3 linked regions of the Drosophila melanogaster genome follow. The protein of the gene in region 1 purifies or fractionates together with the protein of each later gene. This does not show direct contact. Each region holds a gene or a part of one and is shown in the gene's direction. Other genes may lie near its edges.

Region 1 (8,524 bases):
CTTGTACACACGCCTGCCTACATACAGCGTGCTTTGAATTATTTCGATTTTGCGATTTCTTTCGTGCCTTGTATCCATAATAATATTCTAAAAGATTTAAACATTGCACTGTGTACACTTCTTCTTGGATTGGTTACATTCAATTAGTTTTTCACTTTCATCTTGTTCACGTTACATTACGGTCGTTACTGTCTTGCTGTCCTGTTTTGTGGTTTCACTTTAGTTTCTGCTACTTGAAACAATGTACAATTAATTACAAAAATGTCTTGTAATCGCTAAAATTTTAATACTCATGTACTGTCCGCAGGATAGGCGCTGGGCCCCTGCTAATTCCATATCGGATCTCTCCTCTCCAGCTCTGACCTATTCCTCGTCCGCATCGGCGTCTACTCTATAAATTACGTGTAGGGTTCGCTTTCGCAATGGTTGCACTTGATTTCCTCGTCAAAAGTTTAGTTATAGCGTAGGGAGTTGTGAGTATTATAAACGCTTTCTAACTACAGCGTGTGGAGTTACATTAGATATATGTATATGTTATGTATATACGTGGAGTGGGTGCTTCACTTGTTAATAGGGGTTACATCAATTGTATTTTTTCCGTTTTTCCATTTTGTTTTTTGTTCTTTTTTTGTTTGTTTTCGTTTTGCTTTGTTTCTTGGTTTAGTTTGGTTTTAATACATATATATTAGGTAAGTGTAAATATTCATATGTTGCCCAGGACTGAGCTGGGCGTAGCTCTAGTTGCGATCGCACGATCTAGACTTAATGCCAAGGGGCCAGTGTGAAAGTTGGCCTTGTGTGGGTAAATACATTTCGAAATACGTGTGTGTACGCAATGTGTTCTTTAGGCGAGAAGCTGACAGCAAAGCCCCTGCTCACTAAATTCAACAGTAAAGACAAACATCTAATTCCAAAAAAACGCTAGTGAGTGCTAAGAAATTGTTGTCCTAATGCCTAGAAAATCCTTTCGGTTGAGAGCTCGTTTTCTGCCTCTCCCTCCCTTTGTTTCTGCCCTGTGTTCTTTCTATAAATTTCAACTGTGTTGCAAGACTTTTGCCTACATCTAAGTGTATATGCGAAGGAGCTGCCTCCCGTCCGTCTGCTGCCTGAATGTCCGCCTAGCTGCTCGATACAATTTCTCGTAAATATCTATATAGGTTTATATATGGGTGTGTATTGTATGTGTGTGGGTTCCAAGTCAACTCCTAGCGATGTCCTTGGATCAGCTGCCGCCGCCGAAGCCTTAGTAGTAGAATATCTGGCCGGCCTTCTGCCGCTTGCGCTCCTCCAGCTTGCGATTGATCTCCTGCTGCCGCTCGGCCTTGCTGAGGGCTCTTGCCACGTACAAGAACTTGTTGTCGCCCAGCTGCTTGCCGTGCAGGCCAATTACGGCGGCCAGCGCCGACTGTGGGTTCTCGTAGGCGACGAAACCGAAACGCCGGGAGCGCCCCTCCTCGTCCAGCATGAGCTGCAAGGATCGGAGAAAGCAAATCGATGATATAAACAAATTAGCACAGATGGGCCAGGTGGAGTCCTCATCTTCCCCGCCGTCACAAACTCCTCGTGGCTACATGGGCATGCGCAGCAATGGCGCAAGAGAGGACTTAAGAGAGTGCAAAACTGTGCCACATGGTTGTCGTCCAACCACCCGGCCCCACGAACATCCCCGTAGGGAAGATGAGGTGACCAAACAACGTACCTTGTGACTGGTGATGCGGCCGTAGGGCTCGAACATCTCGCGCAAATGCTGCTCGGTGAACTCCTCGCTGAGGTTCTTCACATACAGATTCTTGAAGTGCGTGGCCTTCTCCTGCTCCCGGTCCCGCCGTGGTATGAACTTGACCACATGCACCTTCTGATTATTGCACAGCATCCCATTCACCTTCTCGATGGCCGCTCGGGCGGCCTCCTCCGAATCGAAATGCACAAACCCATAGCCGCGTGAATTGCCATCCTCGTCTTTGGCCACATTGCAGTTTAGGATGTTTCCGAACACCGAGAACGTGTCGTACACCGCCTTGTTGTCGATGGACCGCTCCAGGTTCTTGATATAGATCTTGCCACTGTCCGGAGAGCTGTTGCCTCCGCTGCCCCCAGTGGAGCCGCTAGCCAGAGCTCCCCCGCCGACTCCCACGCCCACATTGGCCGAGTGCGAGGACGTGGACGTGTGCCCGCTGCCCAGGGAGTTGTGGCCATGCCGTCCGAGAACAGCGGCGGCCGCCAGGTGGTTACTGGCTGCGTGCCCACCGCCGACGTGGCTCAGGTGACCAGCTGCAGCGGCGTGGTGGTGCAGCTGCTGCTGGTGGTGCGCCGCTGCCAGCGTGTGGTGGTTCAGGGCCGGCTGCTGCTGGTGGTAGTTCGCCGGATTGCCGCGGAACGTCATGGAGTTGACGAACATAATGGCTGCTGGCTGTTTGTGGAGCGTGGTGGCGGCTAGTGGAGTGCTGTAGGTGCTGTAGGTGGATTCTGCGTCCTGGTGGCCGTGGCTCTGGATCTGGATACCGCTGTAGATGGGCCCGAGAATCTTGACGGCGTTCTTGTCCTGGTCCTAGTATTTCACTTCACTTCCCGATTTACCTGGGATGTCGGGAATCTGCGTTATGGCCAATCTAGTCGTAATCCAGCGGAATGCCCACTTACCAGGATTTGCACACGGAATATGACCAAGGATTCGCGGAGTTGAAAAAATCGTTTTTCTCTCGCACAGACTCTTTTCAACGCTCTTCGCTCTCTCTTTCTTTACCTCTCTGGCTCTTCCTTTCGCTCTTTTGTACTTTACTTTTTCTGGGGGCTTTCACTTTTGGGCTGATTCTTTGGGGCTCTGCTGGGCTTTCGCGTAACACTTTCCGGTATTGTTTTCGAGTGGCACCTAAACTAGACTCTTCAGCAATTGCAGCAGTGTAAAACCTGGTTTTTGCAGCTTCGGCGATGGCCCTTTATTATTTAATTGTATTTTATGCAAAAACTGTCGCTACTAGTGATTAGTGATGTTAAAAAACATCGATGCATCTGCCATCGATACGTGAGGCCTTCATGTTCTTGGCCATACCATCGATGACTTTCTCGCTCCCGATTGCTTAGCAAGTCCACCCTCCACAGTTAGCGGATAATGGCCATCAAAGCAACGCTTACCAACACTGCACCCCTTGTTTTGGAAATGCAACCACAAAAGCATTGGACACTTGCTTACTTCAAATAAAACACATTTAAACAATTAGATGACGTGATGGACCAGAATGGCGCATCGGGAAGTCATCCGAACAGGCTATCCCAAGGAAGAGGAGCCCATGCGCGCGAACGTGGCGCCACAGTTTCCGCGGCGGCAAATCGGAGTAACATTATCGACGAAATGGCCAAAATATGCGAAGCCGATCGCCAGACTTTCGCCATCGCTCGACGGACTCGGGGTCACGAGCGGCTTGCGGTGGACAACAGCGACTTCGTCGCCGTGGAGGATCTTATTTTGTCCTACGCAGAGCCCACGCCCGAGGACCAGGTCGAGATGATCATGAGCGACTTTTGCTCGTCTCCAACATACGCAGAGGATGAGGATGAGCCCAGCCATGAGTCGGAGCCGTGGTTTCGATTTCGCAACAAAAGGATCAGAACCTACAGCCGGAAGAGGGATCCCAAAAGCCACAAGGCCGTTCAAAACGAGAAGCGTAGAGGTTCCTCAGGCCTCTCCGTGCAGAGGGATCTCAATACTTCGTTCACATCTATGGCTTGTGATTTCGATGCTTCATCACAGAAGATACACGAGGTCCTTTTGAACCTCAGTCAATACTTTTCCGCGACCGCGACAGCTTCCGGTCCGACTCCTGTCCCATCGCAAATAGATCTGCCAACCGAAGCAAGGCAGGATTCTGGTGACGAGTGTTTCAACGCTGAATTGGAGAACTTGAGGGATGACCTGTTGCAGAGCGGATTTACATTTGAGGCCTCTTTCTATGAAAATGAGCATGAGCAGGAAGGTAGGGAGTGGGATCGATATGGCAAGAAACACATTTGTAACTCCTTTTATATGTACGTAGGTCCAGGAACTATGGCAGACACTATTTATGGCGATAGCATGCAATCGGTTCCCACTACGCGCCTCCGATTGGGTAATTCATATGCAATTTATGTTGTTGCGAAGTTCATTAATATAAACCCTTATTTATAGAAAGTGGAAAACGTAATGTTTGGTCTGATGCAGACTCTACATTGAAAAAAGCTGATGTCGAAATTGCTGAAAATAAGAAACTTTTGATGGGCCAAACGCAAGCAAAAAATGTTGACATAGAGGAGAACACAAACTTCATATTAGAAGGCATACCACTAAGTGAATGGCTAACTCCGATGGAACTGCCCGAGATCTCCAAAGATGTAATCAAACATATACCCGATAAAAAGTTAAAGTTGGAGCCAAGTTCCCAGAAAGAACAAAAAAGTAGCAAAGATTCAAATGCATCAAAGGTTAGAGGAGCCTCAAAACAATCTTGTGATATTAACACGAAAAACGAAGGAACTACTATTCTGGATCAGCCTAATGCTGCAGAGCAAGAAAACCTATTGAACGACGGCGAGCTTCTTGAGGAGTTTCTTTTTAATGATTGGCAACCAATGCAGTGCTCTAATGGCCCATCAACCTCCAAAAACGCAATTCAAGGGCCTAAAGAAAACATCAATTCAATAAATCTGGACGACAAGGAGCAACCAGAAAAGCAGACTCCTAATAAAAGTCAGACCATAAGCAGTCATCAACTTAATGGCATTCGAAAGAAGTCCTTCAAATTTATCGAGGTTTCGGAAGAAATGAAAATTAAAGGCGAAGAGTTTGTAGACAAAGTTGTATCCGGCCTATATCACTTTAGTCACAAGTGCAACTTACGTACTGAGGAATACTCCGATAATCATAGTCAAGTAATGGAATCAACACAGTGTGCGGAATTCAAATCAGCCCCAAGCAAGCCCATCGAAATATTGGATGGTAAGGAAACCTACAATGCAATAGCTAAAGTTGACGTTGGAGAAATAAATGGAAAATTCAGTCCTCTCAATAACGATACTATAGCAGAGCCCGAGTTTTGTGGCTTTCGCACAGCCTCAAATAAGGCAATTCCGATTTCTGAGAAGATGAAAATCAAAACTGCAGAGTTTATGGCTGAGTTTCAATCCAAAGAAACAATTCAACAAAATGATTATTTAGTCCATCAGCCAAATGACAAACCGACGTCTGTTGGACTTGATACAGCCTTAAAAAGATCAATAGAGAGTTCAGAGGAAATGCGATCGAAAGCTTCCAAGTTGGTGGTCGTTGATACTACAATGCGGGAACCGCATCAACCCACACTTGACCCAGTTTGCCGTGACTTAAATGAATCACAGTTTTTCGGCTTTAGAACAGCGTCAAACAAAGCCATTGAGATTACCGAGGCGATGGAGAAGAGAGGAGCCATGTTTCTGGCCCAGTCTAAAGCTACAGACCAATTAAACGGGTGGCAGCCAAGCGATTTTCCTGATGTTCTACCCACCTCTCCAAACAATGAGATTCATTCAATAAATGTTGAAAATAATAAGGCTGTGAATACTAAAACCGTATCTGAGACCGAATTCTTCGGCTTTCGTACCGCTTCAAATAAAGGAATTGTGATTTCGGAAAATACGAAAATCAAAGTTGCACAGTTCATGAGTGAATTTCAAGCCGCCGATGCAAGCACTGACTCGAACCAACCAACTGTGATCTCTGAGGAATCGAGAAATATTGATGCCAAGTTCGTAGATGAAGCGGCGGCAGAAGACAGTGCCAACAAGCCAACTTTTTGCAATGTACAAAGTCTAAAAAATACCTCAGATATTGAGCATTTCAAACACGACTTCTTCGTGGAGCATTCTGCAAAGGAAGAGCATCCGCTGTGTAGCCAGCCATTGGTGAGGACACCCAGAAGGTCGCAGGAGATCCACTCCTCACTATCGCAACTTGCCGGCAAATCACCACTGGACCAGGCCACCAAGAAGTCCGTAATAGCTCGCCGGAACCTCCTGTCACTAAAAAGAAAGCGAAAGATCATTTTGTCAACTGAAACTTCCACTTCCTGCGCCTTACCCACTATGGAGCGATTCGCTCCCAAGCCTTCCTCGACAAGTACTCCGCTGGCCGACAGGGACTTAAATCGCTCCAAGGACTGTACAAAGAATAGACAGGATGCGGAGGACATGTCCCCTATTTGCATGCAACCCAAAAAGAGTCGAAGACTTGGTCTGAGTCGAAGTCGCTATTAGTACACATTAAGTAAGCGTTGCTTTATACCCAAAATATTTAAACCGCTGGCCGATTTGAAATGGGTAGAGATTTAGTTGAATTAATTAAGGTATGCCATTAGTGGTCTCATCATGACAGATTGAATAATTGTATAAGTTATCATAATAAGCGTTTTTTGTTAAGTGCACCTTATAAGGAAATAAACGATCCGATAAGGGCCACCCGCTAACCAACTTCCTTAAAGGTGCCCACTTACGAGTTCCGCGAAAAAAACGAGAAGAGACGAAATCAGTCCCACAGTTCACAAAACAAATGCGAAAAAGTAGTAGTCCAGGTCGAATGCCTTAGCCGGCGGCTCATCATCGCGCATCAAGGTATAGATTCCCTGATGGATGAGCTCCCGGAAAGTGTCCGCCTTCATTTTGATGCTGATCCCGTGCTCCTGCAGGCGCCTCATGAACTCACTGGTCATCGCCAAGTACGGCAGACTGTTGGACACGCAGTAGGATTCGAGGGTAAAACCCACGGCCTGGCGAATCATGTTGAAGCGCGGCGTCTTCAGCAGGTACTGCTGCATCAGGATCAGCTCCAGGCGGTCCTCGTACAATATGTATATGTAGCTCTGATTGAGCCCATCCCGGTACGCCTTTAGCAGGGTGGCGTTCAAGCTCAAGCTGTTCCTGCGGAGCCGTTCGGGCAGGAAGGTTTTCGCCTTCATCTGACTTCTGTAGTACTCGTCGTGCAGACTGGGGTAGGGAGCCCTGGCCAGATCCTCCAGAGTGTTGTACTCCTCGTCGTACAGCCCGGATGTGAGGATGCTGGAGAGCGTGGCCAAGTAGACGTTGGTCAGTATAAAGCCTCCGATCGTTAGAATGCCATGGATGGCCACGTCCCTCCAGCCAGCAACTCTGATTTTCTGGTGGCAGTTGTATAGGATGTGGCTGAGGCTGTACAGCAAGCACTTTCCAATCTCGACTCGTGCTCCTCGCGCAGCCAGATGCAGCATTACGGTTCCGTACAAGACAGTCGAAATCACGACCGCCCAAAGGGTCCAGCCGAAGGGCTTGGAGTAGTACAGATAACTGGAAATCGGACGGGCGTGGGGAGCCATGAAGTACTCGCGGATAATCGAAAGTGGTGCTGTGTAGGCCACTTCCAAGCTGAAATCTTTGAAGTAGCAAACAATGTCGATCTTTTTTGTATGTAGCATTTCAGCAACGGCCAAGTATACATCATATTCCGGCAGATCGGGTATGGGTACACTCTCGATGGTGGCGTTATAGCGATAAGTCAGCTCCTTGACCGCTGTGAACAAATATCCTGCTCGCACCAAGCCACCCTGTTCGTTGGAGTACTCAAAGTCCCGAGGAGCTAATGTGCTTCGAAGTATGCGGACAGGAAAGCCTTGAAAGTTTCGAATTATCCTTGCGCGATCGAAATACTCGGACACATTTGATAGGCTGATCGGTTGAATGCTAGGATACGGTAGGTAGCTGTAGAGGCCCTTTCCGCTCATCAGAATTACATTTACGAATCCCTCCTTGAAGCAGTAGGTGTAGAGGTCCTGTTTCGGAAATCCTGGTTCCTCATTGCTCAGGAACACTATGTGCAGCTCATGGAGCTCGTCCAACAAGCGTGGCAGAAGACTGGCAACCAGTGGATTCAGATCTGAATCCATTACACTTACTATGATAAGGGTACTCTCTGTGAAGTTTCCCCGAATTCTAAGATCTCTAGCTTCCCTCGAGTTGGAGGAGAGTAAAATTCTCGGCGAGTCCAATTTGTGGAGTATCTCTGAGGTGGCGCAGCACTCAAAATCGATGAACACATTGAGCTCCGTTTGGAGAGCCAAATTGAGATCCTGGAGTACTTGGACTTGCATGGATTCCGAGTCAGAAGCCCCGACCAAGCACAGAAGAACTGACACCAGCAGAAAAGAAATCATTTTAATTACCATAAGGCAGCGGGAAAATGCTTTTATAGGCTGCGTAGAATGCCCACATGACAAGGCAAAAATATTTTCAGGTTGCATTTAAAAGGATAATGGATTAATTGCCATCCACCCCATCAAACCAAAGCTCAAGAAGACAAATGTCATATTACTCTTCCATTAACCTAGTGTATATTAGCAAATAACTCAAGTCATTTTAGCTGTTTGAGTTGCAGGATGAAGTAGATTCCAAATCAAACAGTTTTGAATTTCCCGCCCACTGAATGGAAACTTTCAAGCACTGGCAGCTCCACCGATATATGCCTCCAGTTCTGGTCGCTGTCCAGCACTAC
Region 2 (3,949 bases), on another chromosome or scaffold:
TTGCCGTCCTTGGTGATCACGCCCTCCGGCTTTTCCGGCGGCGGCAGCTCGATGGTGCTGGGCGTGGCATGGTCCTCCTTGGTCACAAAAATCACCTTGTCCTTGCCGTACTCCTTGCAGTAAGAGAATGACATCCTGATGCGGTAATGCTAGTTAAATGCTACAAACTCCTCGGGGGATTCCTCAAAATCCAAGGGCTTTCGGGATGTGCTGAGCACCTGAAAATGGCAGGGCACCTCCTGGTAGTATCCTATTAGGGCTATAGCTACGCGAACGCGATCCAGGACGTTCTCGGGCACCCGGAGAATGGAGCGTTTTTGGCTGGAACTAAATTTCACAATTTCCAGTATGGTCTGGCCACCTATTTCGCCAAAAATACTAGCCAAGGAGCTATGGATGCAGCCACAGAAGAATACGGGCGTCAGAGTCACGGAGTCTGGATCACGGAGTTTTCTGGCGATTAAAAACGTGAATTATCTTAATTATATTTGCATGATGCACGTGCGCACGTGGGAAATACGGGGCTTTAAGGAGCGGGGCTGAGTGCCCGGAACTCACATCTTCACGTCCAGATATTGGTAACCACTCATGCTTTGGGTGCAAGTGCCAGTGCCCCTCTTTTTTTGGCGGAATCTTCGGGAAAAGTCGTCCAAAAGTTGCCGGTCAGTGTGTTTTTTTTATGTAATTACTCCCCTTTTTTGCTGTTTCTTTCTGCTTCTCAAACAGCTGTGCGCCGCCAGAGATGCCAGCTCGGCTCACAACGGACATGAGTAGTTATAAAATAGCTAAAATTATAGCCATTTATTAAAACATTTAAATTGTTATTGGAACTACTTAAATGCAATTTTATTAAAATGGTTACAAGTTTATGGGGTTTTTCCGCTTTTTAATCTCATTTAGTAGCCATCACAGAAATCATTTCAGTTCGTTGTGAATGACAAAAAAATCAGATCACAGTAAAATCAGTTAGGATTCAAATTCAAATTCTTCATGACGGTTATAATGTATATTACACTGAGTATTACAATTCGCTAGTCCTAATCATCGGACACAACCGCGACAGTCTTTTCAATGCTCTTCTCAAAGTCCAGCGATGATTTGGATGTTTCCAAGATCTCAAAATGACAGGGTATCTGCTGGTAGTGACCGATGAGCTCAATGGATATGCGGGTCATGTCGTGCAGTTGCTCTGGCACTCGAAAGATAACACGATGTTGCTGGGCGCAGAACTTCACGATCTCCAGTGTGGGTTTCTCCTCGCAGAAGAAACTGTCCAGGGCGTCAAGAACGCAGCTTCGAAACAGAGATGGGGTCAAAGCAACTGCAGTCGGATCCCGAAGTTTACTATTAAATAAATGAATATATTTACTGAATTTAATAACAACCAAGTTTATATTAATGACCGCAGAACATCATTCTACTCACAGTTTGATGTCGAAATAGTAATAGTTCGCCATGGTGATCTTGCGCGTTCCTTTTAAGCGGGATCCTCTGTAGTGATAGAGTTTTGTGCGTTCGGGGCGATTGGCAAACTGATTTTGCAGTGAATTGCGCGCCGCGCAGTCTTTGTCGAAATTCTCTCACGCAAGACGTGCAATTTAAATAACGAAACTCGAAACAACAAATAGTCAAATTTAACTTCGAAACTGTCAAATGGAGAAGCTAACGAATGTTCAGGCACAGCAGGAAGAGGAGGAGGAAGAAGGTCCACTCAGCGTGACTAAGTTAATAGTGAGTAGGCTGCGATCTCGACCAGGATTATTATGGGCATTCCCTACGATATCCTCCTCCTAGGGCGGCAGCATCACGGCCAAGGACATCAAGCTGCTCCAGCAGGCCAGTCTGCACACCGTGGAGTCGGTGGCCAATGCCACCAAGAAGCAACTGATGGCCATTCCCGGCTTGGGCGGCGGCAAGGTGGAGCAGATCATCACGGAGGCTAACAAACTGGTGCCTCTGGGCTTCCTTAGTGCTCGCACCTTCTATCAAATGCGTGCCGATGTCGTGCAGCTGAGCACGGGCTCCAAGGAGCTGGATAAACTGCTGGGCGGCGGCATTGAGACGGGATCCATTACCGAGATCTTTGGCGAGTTCCGCTGCGGAAAGACCCAATTGTGCCACACTCTGGCAGTAACCTGCCAGCTGCCCATCAGCCAGAAGGGCGGCGAGGGCAAGTGCATGTACATCGACACGGAGAACACCTTCCGTCCGGAGCGTTTGGCTGCCATCGCGCAAAGGTACAAACTGAATGAATCCGAGGTGCTGGACAATGTGGCCTTCACCCGTGCCCACAACTCAGATCAGCAGACCAAGCTCATCCAGATGGCGGCGGGCATGCTCTTTGAGTCCAGATACGCTTTGCTGATTGTGGACAGTGCCATGGCGCTCTACAGATCCGATTATATTGGTCGCGGGGAGCTGGCCGCCAGGCAAAACCATTTGGGCTTATTTCTGCGCATGCTTCAACGCCTGGCCGATGAGTTCGGAGTGGCTGTGGTAATTACTAACCAGGTTACTGCCTCGCTGGACGGCGCACCCGGCATGTTTGATGCCAAGAAGCCCATTGGCGGGCACATCATGGCCCACTCCTCAACCACGCGGCTGTATCTGCGCAAGGGTAAAGGCGAAACCCGCATCTGCAAGATCTACGACTCGCCCTGTTTGCCGGAATCGGAGGCCATGTTCGCCATTCTGCCGGATGGAATAGGAGACGCCAGGGAGAGCTAATTGTGCTCACTTATAGGTTAATTAATGCTAGGAATAGAGCTCCCTAACTTTCTAATGATTACTTATCCCTAGACTAAGAATTAAACTTCGTAGATTGTTTTTTTTTTTGTTTTAATGTTTACTTAGAATGTTTAGGATAACGACGAAATAAAACAGCCGTTGCGAATTGTATGTACCATCTATATTTAATTCAATATTATTCAAATCATCTACAAACTTAGAAAATATTTAGGGGTTTCGAAGCAAAAACCTTTTTTTTAGTCTGGTAATAAGCGGATGCAGCAGGAAAAGCCCCATCAGCGCAGCGTAACACGACATGCACCTGGCAGGCAAACAGAATTAAGGAATTTAGCTGAATTTTTAACCTAGAATTAAGCATAGCCCACTTGGCTCATCAAAACTTTGTCATCCAAAGCACGGTCTTTAAGTTGCCTGGTTTGTAACGCTTACGAGTAACTGCAAGAAAGAGGATTCTTGAAGATGTGTTTCAACTCAGCGGTTTGCGGTTTCCCATCCTACCTTATCATGTAATTGGTCCAGCAGAACTGGTCCTCGATCATTTACTGTGGAGCCGATCCGGCTGAAGCGGCGGCCTCCTTGGCCAAAACCAGGCTATTATATCCGCGCTCGTTCATCCCGACGCGAAGGTTTTCGTTGATATTTTTCGTATAGGTCTTGTAGATTTTTACCTTTTCGCAGAAGTCGATCCAAAAGTTGTCCTCGCTCTCGGGCTCCGGATTGAAGAGACTCTTGAAGCCATCGTATATGCCAGAGGAGACCTTGCGTATGGTCTGCGCCCTCTCCTTGAACTCCACCTCGTCGGACAGGTCCATTTTCCAGAGCTCCAGATTGCCCACATACCGGCGAAGTCGGCGCATTATGTCCACGCACTCCGGATTGCGCAGCAGCATCAACTTGGTGAACTCCACCTCCTTGAACTGCTCGAGGATCTCCAGGCATTTGCCCACATTGGCGCGCCGCAGGCCCAAACATTCGCGCAGCTGCTGGGAAAGTTGGATGAAGTCTCGCTCCATGAAGAGGGCATCCTCGTGCTCAATGAGCTCCTCGATGAATCGCAAAGCCTCCTGCTTGGGTATTTCGCTGCGTGTTGGCTCCACCACGATCCTATCGGGCATGGACTCCGGATTGATTTGGCCGCTCTCTAGTTTCAGTTTGAGCTCCAAGGCTTCTTTGCGGGCGTTCTCCATCCAGGCTTCCTCGG
Region 3 (5,201 bases), on another chromosome or scaffold:
GTAACCTTGTGGGCCAGCAGGGTTCTGGCCAACATGGGGAAATTATGGGCAGTATATTGAAGAATTTGTAGGGTTTCATCACCCTGTATTTCTGCAATAGCAGCGGCCGCCTGGAGACCCAAATCCTGGAACTCCCATGCTTTCAATTGGGCGATCTCATCGTTTCCCTGAAGAAGCCTCTGACGCAGTTGATCCAGCGCTCTCTTAAGTGTAGGATGCTTCTGCTTCAGCACCTTGAAATCAAAGCCCTGGACGTCCGATTCATTAGCCAAATCCTCATCAGAAGTGGAACCAGCTTCGGGCTTTGGAGCATCATCCTGACTCTTGTATTCCGTTGACTTCAGATGGAGTTCCACTCCATAGCCCGAAAGTCGTACCGGTCGCTTGTCCTTCTTGGCCAATTGATGACGCAAGATGTAACGAATCCGGCCAGCATTGGCTTCCTTTTCCAATAGTTTGTGATAGGTGCGGAATTGAGAGCTTCCCAAATCGCCGTATAGTACCACAGTGCGGGTATTGTTCTCACTGCCAGGGAAAATGTGATCAAAGCTGTAGGTGACAACAGAAGCATCCAAGCTATCCTTGGCGAGCGGCACTTCCAGCTTCTTCTGCAGCTCGTTAAAGCTGCAGGCCAGTTCGGAACCCACCTGGGCAAAAGTAAAGCTCTGACAAGAGCCACTGCTCCTCAGTTCCTCGGCCAACTGGAAGTGGGTCTGGATCCGGGGCGTCAAGCTATGCATGGATACCACCAGCCTAAGCAGGGGCAATTGGGGAGAACTCACATGGCTCTTGACCAGCTCCAAGGCGGCATTGTACTGTTGCGACTCGGTATCTGAAAAGCGAAAACGTAATCAGAAAAATAAATTACCCTTTGGGAAAAGATCACATTATAGGGCTTTGGGAATAGGTGATTTTATATTCCGAACCATTACTTGATTTTATATGGATTCGATTCACATTGAGGAGAATATAAAAGCTCTTTAATGCGGGTTCTCCATGACTTATAAACACAAACCATATTCGTTGAGAACCGTGTCCAACTTGGTCACCCCCGAAACGTAATCCCAGAAGAGGCCCGCCTGCTCATCGGCCAGATACTCGGCGATTTCCAGATATAGGGGCGTCTGCGTCCATTTCGCGTTGATTAGCGTGGTGATGGGATAGCTCTGACTGGATTCCCCAGAAGTTGGCGTATATAGTGCTATGAGCACCACAGACACACACAAAGCCACGGCACGTAACATGGTTTCCACTTGTTTTAACGTAGATTAAACCACGCACATTACGTATACTAAGCGTAGAGAGGAACTTAAGGCTTTCCTTCTCCAAATATTTTACTTTTCACCAGTTTTCGGCTGGTTTTAGCCCAGTTTTTCTTAATTTGATTTAGAACTGATGTGGCGTTCGTTGATGAACCGGCATGCCGCAGTGTGACCAGACTACATTGGAACTACATCGGGTTGAAGAACTTATTTAAATTTATTTATTTTACGGACAATTGTCAATATGGAAATATTTTGCTTTAAATTATAAAAGAAATTATTGAAATATAAAAATAGTACATACTTACTTCAAAATGCATAAATGGGTAACTAAATTCCTTTGTTGGTATTTTTCATACCTGTTGTGCGACTACTATCACTCTAATTTGTTTGTTTACAAATTTCAGCGCGAATTTCGCGACCAAAAACATAGTGCAAATATTGCCAATGAAATACACTTTAGAGGGCAGCAATGCAAGAGGTACCACATAATAAACAGCAAAATATATTGATAACTAAAAGAATTCATTTTTTAAGTCATCGCCAAAGCCGTACAATCGCTGTCCAAGGTGGGCAAGGAGATGTTCATCGAGATCGACCAGCAATCCTTGCAGATGCGGGCCATAAATGCCACCCAATCCGCAGTGGGCAGCATATCGTTCAAAAGATCCATGTTCGAAGTGTATGACATGCCGCCGCACTCAGATTTCTACTGCAAGATCTCCATGAAGGGATGTTTGGCCGTGTTCCGCAACATGAATGAGGTAAGTTCGAAAGTCTGCTCACTGGGATTAGTTGTTAAGAATATTATGTTCCAGGTGGAGTACTGTGAACTCAACTTGCTGGACAACCAGACCAACCTGCAGGTGAATCTCCGCTGTAAGCTGGAGACCACAAAGGAGGCCACCATTTCCATCATAGACGACCAAAACATTAACACAAACATTAACACCGATCAGATGCCGAATATGTGAGTTTTGGTTTGTGTTAAGGATAACTATTAAGTTTATCTCCTTACCTTATTTCTCTTAAAACAACTATGCCCATATAAATCCGAATTTACTACTCAACATTTCAGAATCCGTGGCGATCACAAGCTGTTGACGGATATATCCAATAACTTTAACTCCTCAGAGGAGGAACTTACTTTGGAGGCAAACTCGGGCAGTGTGGTGGCCAAAAACTACATAGAAGGAGCCCGAGTTAATGATAAGTTCATGCGCACGCAGCTGAAACTTAAGCCCAGTGAATTTGAGCAGTACCAGGTAACGAAGGAGACGGTCATTACATTCTGCATTAAGGAATTCCGAGCATTTCTCCTCTTCGCCGAGTGCTTAAATGCTTCGCTGACCCTGGAGTTCGACGAAGCGGGCATGCCTTTCCTGCTCAAAATTAAGAAGCATGGCGAGATTGAATGCTTGCTGATCATGTCCACGCTATCCCCCGATGATATAAGCTTCTCGGAAGATTATTGTCAAAAGGATCTGACAGTGCAGGATGAGGATGTACGAGCGGCGGCCGCAAAGCGAAAGAGCAGCGTTTCGAAGCCGAATGTGACCAACAAACGCAAAGGCAGCTCTTCGGAACCGGCTGCAGTGCAGCCAAAACGGCGAGTTGAGGAGACCCAATTAGAATCGAGCCTAGATAATCCACTGTTTCAGTTCCGGGACTCGGAGGCGCCATCTGTTCAGCACCCTCGCATCCTAGCCGAGGTGGACACTGTGGTTCTGATTGAAGATGAGGCGGAACAAGAGGCTCTCATGCTGGCAGCCGCGGATGCCGCTTTGGAGGCCAGCATGGCACCTGCTCCAGAGCCGCCGAACAGCACGGAGGTTTGCTTTATCAACACAGACGACTCTCAACAACCTAAACCTGCGAAAAGCTCCTCCGACGAGGACGAAACTATACCCCAGTCACCTGAGCGCCCTAACAAGGTGCGAACCATCTTCTCACGTTGCTTTCAGAGGACCTACGTGCCGCGGGAGCCCTCACCCAACACTCAGGTCTATGCGCCCAATTCCGATACAGAGGATTAGCCTAGATTTGATCGTTTATCAGCAAATACACTATACGTCTAAGTCAGGTTGCCTTCTGGATGCTTATGTGCGGGAGGAAGTTGCTGGTAATAACATCAGCCACCCTGTTTTGCAGGTCCTGGGCGTTCTTCTGGGCCTGCTGCAGGGATGTGTGAGCCGACTGAAGACTATGTTGCGACTTGATGAGCATTTGATCAGTGGTTACGAGCTGCTTTGATGCACTCAACACAAAGCTGCGAGTGAAAGCGGTAAGGGATCTCCAAATGGCAATGTTGTTTTCGACTGGAAAAGGGCATTAAGTTGAAATGTTTGAAGGCACAGAATTGGTGACATACTTAGTTTCCGCTGAAGCAGATTATTCCGGTAAATGGAAGCCGTGCTGTTGACCTGGTTGCTGCTTCGGCCTTGCTCGTAAATGTCTTCATCATCCTCTTCGGAGGCTTCGCCCGAAATTTCAGCAGCAAAAATCTGTCACAAAATGGTTTTATTATTGGACTGTTATTTATAAATGATATCCTCAACAACCTTATTCTTCTCCTGCAGCTCCTCGTCGGATTCAGAAGCTTCACCGCTCACCAAATCAGCCATCATTCAGTTTATTAAATACTATTGTAAACAATTTTTTATTTACTGCAGTTACGGCGCTGCCAGATCAGTTAAAACTGCAAACTGTTGCTCACATGGGCGCAGTTGAAGGGGATATTCTTATGTTTGTGATATCTATGCTAACAGATCCGTAGAACTACAATCATAAAAATTATTAACGGATAATGAATGGTATTAGTAACACTTTGCCCATTACTCAGAAGACGATGTAATCTCAATAAGCGCAAAACATAAATTTTAAAAGCATTTATTAAGGACTTTGAAGATTAACAAACTTTTTACATAAAACGGAGTTCTGAACAGAGTAAGAACACTATTTATTGGAAATATTTTTGCAGAGCTCCTGTCTCGAACATTCGTTTGATGTCAGTGCCACCGCCAATGAATTTGCCATCGATAAAGACGCGGGGAACCTACACAGTACACAGGTTACAAATGATAATTAATCTTTATAATGTAAAATATTTAGTGCACCCACCGTTCTGGCACCGGTAATCTCGCCCAGAACTGCCTGAATTTCGTTGCCATCGGGATTTCCATCGAGTTCTATTATGGTGGCGTCCACATTGAGCTTTTTGAAGGGCTGGAACGCAAAGATGTTTATCACTGTTTGGGACTTTTCAAGGTCTCGCAACTTTCTCACCTCTTTGGCCATCGTGCAGTAGGGACAGTAGGTCTTGCTGAATATCACCACTTTGTTGCTGGCAATGGTGTTTTCAACGAATTTCGCCTGCTTGGTGGACATGTCGACTATTGGGGATCTCAAAGCGGATCCAACTGCACCCATAAGCTCGAAATCCAGGAGGGGGTACGGAAACTTGGGGGGCAATGCGGGGAGCAATGAAAGCTGCGACAAGTGTAAGCTGCGGAGAATTATCTCTAATTTAATCAGTTTTTTAATCATTGATTAGCAATCAGCTGTTGTTGCTCTCGCCAGAGCTGCCACGTTGTGAAATTACCATCTCGTAATCATAAACATGTTTAATATTTAATTTAATTTCCATATAATCATGCTAAGTTTAAGGAATCTATTATTGTGTGTCTATTAAGAAAAGAGAAAATCGACTGTTATAAAAACAATGTTTATTCAGCGCTGTCAAAACATGCAGTGACGGTGCCACATCAACAAATTTCATATACACTAGGGGGATTCCTGAAAATTCACTTTTACTTTGACTTCATTATTTGAAACTTATATTAAATTTGCCTATATTTTGTCCGAGATAGTAAAGCAATTTTGAAATTACTTTAACAAATTATGTTAAAATGCCTTGTATGTTAAAATAATTTGGCATTG

The links.
Region 2: the proteins of Brca2 (region 1) and spn-A purify together in Drosophila melanogaster (affinity purification with western blotting; 2 studies listed by BioGRID, with this or other methods). This does not show direct contact.
Region 3: the proteins of Brca2 (region 1) and Rad9 purify together in Drosophila melanogaster (affinity purification with western blotting; 2 studies listed by BioGRID). This does not show direct contact.

Annotation. Positions count from the first base shown.
Region 1 is NT_033778.4:24,523,075-24,531,598, forward strand, and holds Brca2 (BRCA2, DNA repair associated), read left to right. Parts: upstream 1-3,097; 5' UTR 3,098-3,226; coding exon 3,227-3,971; intron 3,972-4,031; coding exon 4,032-4,103; intron 4,104-4,162; coding exon 4,163-6,261; 3' UTR 6,262-6,479; downstream 6,480-8,524. Other genes in the region: CG4612 (uncharacterized protein), read right to left, coding at 1,244-1,468, 1,700-2,398. UniProt on the Drosophila melanogaster protein: Involved in and required for double-strand break repair by meiotic and mitotic homologous recombination. During meiosis, has a dual role in the repair of meiotic double-stranded breaks and the efficient activation of the meiotic recombination checkpoint.
Region 2 is NT_033777.3:30,053,644-30,057,592, reverse strand, and holds spn-A (spindle A), read left to right. Parts: upstream 1-1,555; 5' UTR 1,556-1,653; coding exon 1,654-1,731; exon of another isoform or gene 1,732-1,794; coding exon 1,795-2,727; 3' UTR 2,728-2,897; downstream 2,898-3,949. Other genes in the region: CG7950 (uncharacterized protein), read right to left, coding at 1-134; Rpp14a (ribonuclease P/MRP subunit p14 a), read right to left, coding at 150-453, 559-590; Rpp14b (ribonuclease P/MRP subunit p14 b), read right to left, coding at 1,038-1,344, 1,426-1,457; Jasper (JIL-1 anchoring and stabilizing protein), read right to left, coding at 3,288-3,949. UniProt on the Drosophila melanogaster protein: Plays an important role in homologous strand exchange, a key step in DNA repair through homologous recombination (HR). Binds to single and double-stranded DNA and exhibits DNA-dependent ATPase activity. Underwinds duplex DNA.
Region 3 is NT_037436.4:18,868,993-18,874,193, reverse strand, and holds Rad9 (Rad9), read left to right. Parts: upstream 1-1,640; 5' UTR 1,641-1,709; coding exon 1,710-1,743; intron 1,744-1,799; coding exon 1,800-2,026; intron 2,027-2,080; coding exon 2,081-2,232; intron 2,233-2,340; coding exon 2,341-3,196; coding exon of another isoform or gene 3,197-3,298; exon of another isoform or gene 3,299-3,341; coding exon of another isoform or gene 3,342-3,413; coding exon 3,414-3,515; coding exon of another isoform or gene 3,516-3,580; intron 3,581-3,633; coding exon of another isoform or gene 3,634-3,766; intron 3,767-3,823; coding exon of another isoform or gene 3,824-3,886; 3' UTR 3,887-4,149; downstream 4,150-5,201. Other genes in the region: Uggt (UDP-glucose-glycoprotein glucosyltransferase), read right to left, coding at 1-832, 1,016-1,244; Blos3 (biogenesis of lysosome-related organelles complex 1, subunit 3), read right to left, coding at 3,342-3,580, 3,634-3,766, 3,824-3,886; Grx1 (glutaredoxin 1), read right to left, coding at 4,222-4,317, 4,383-4,487, 4,548-4,691. UniProt on the Drosophila melanogaster protein: Component of the Rad9-Rad1-Hus1 (9-1-1) checkpoint clamp complex.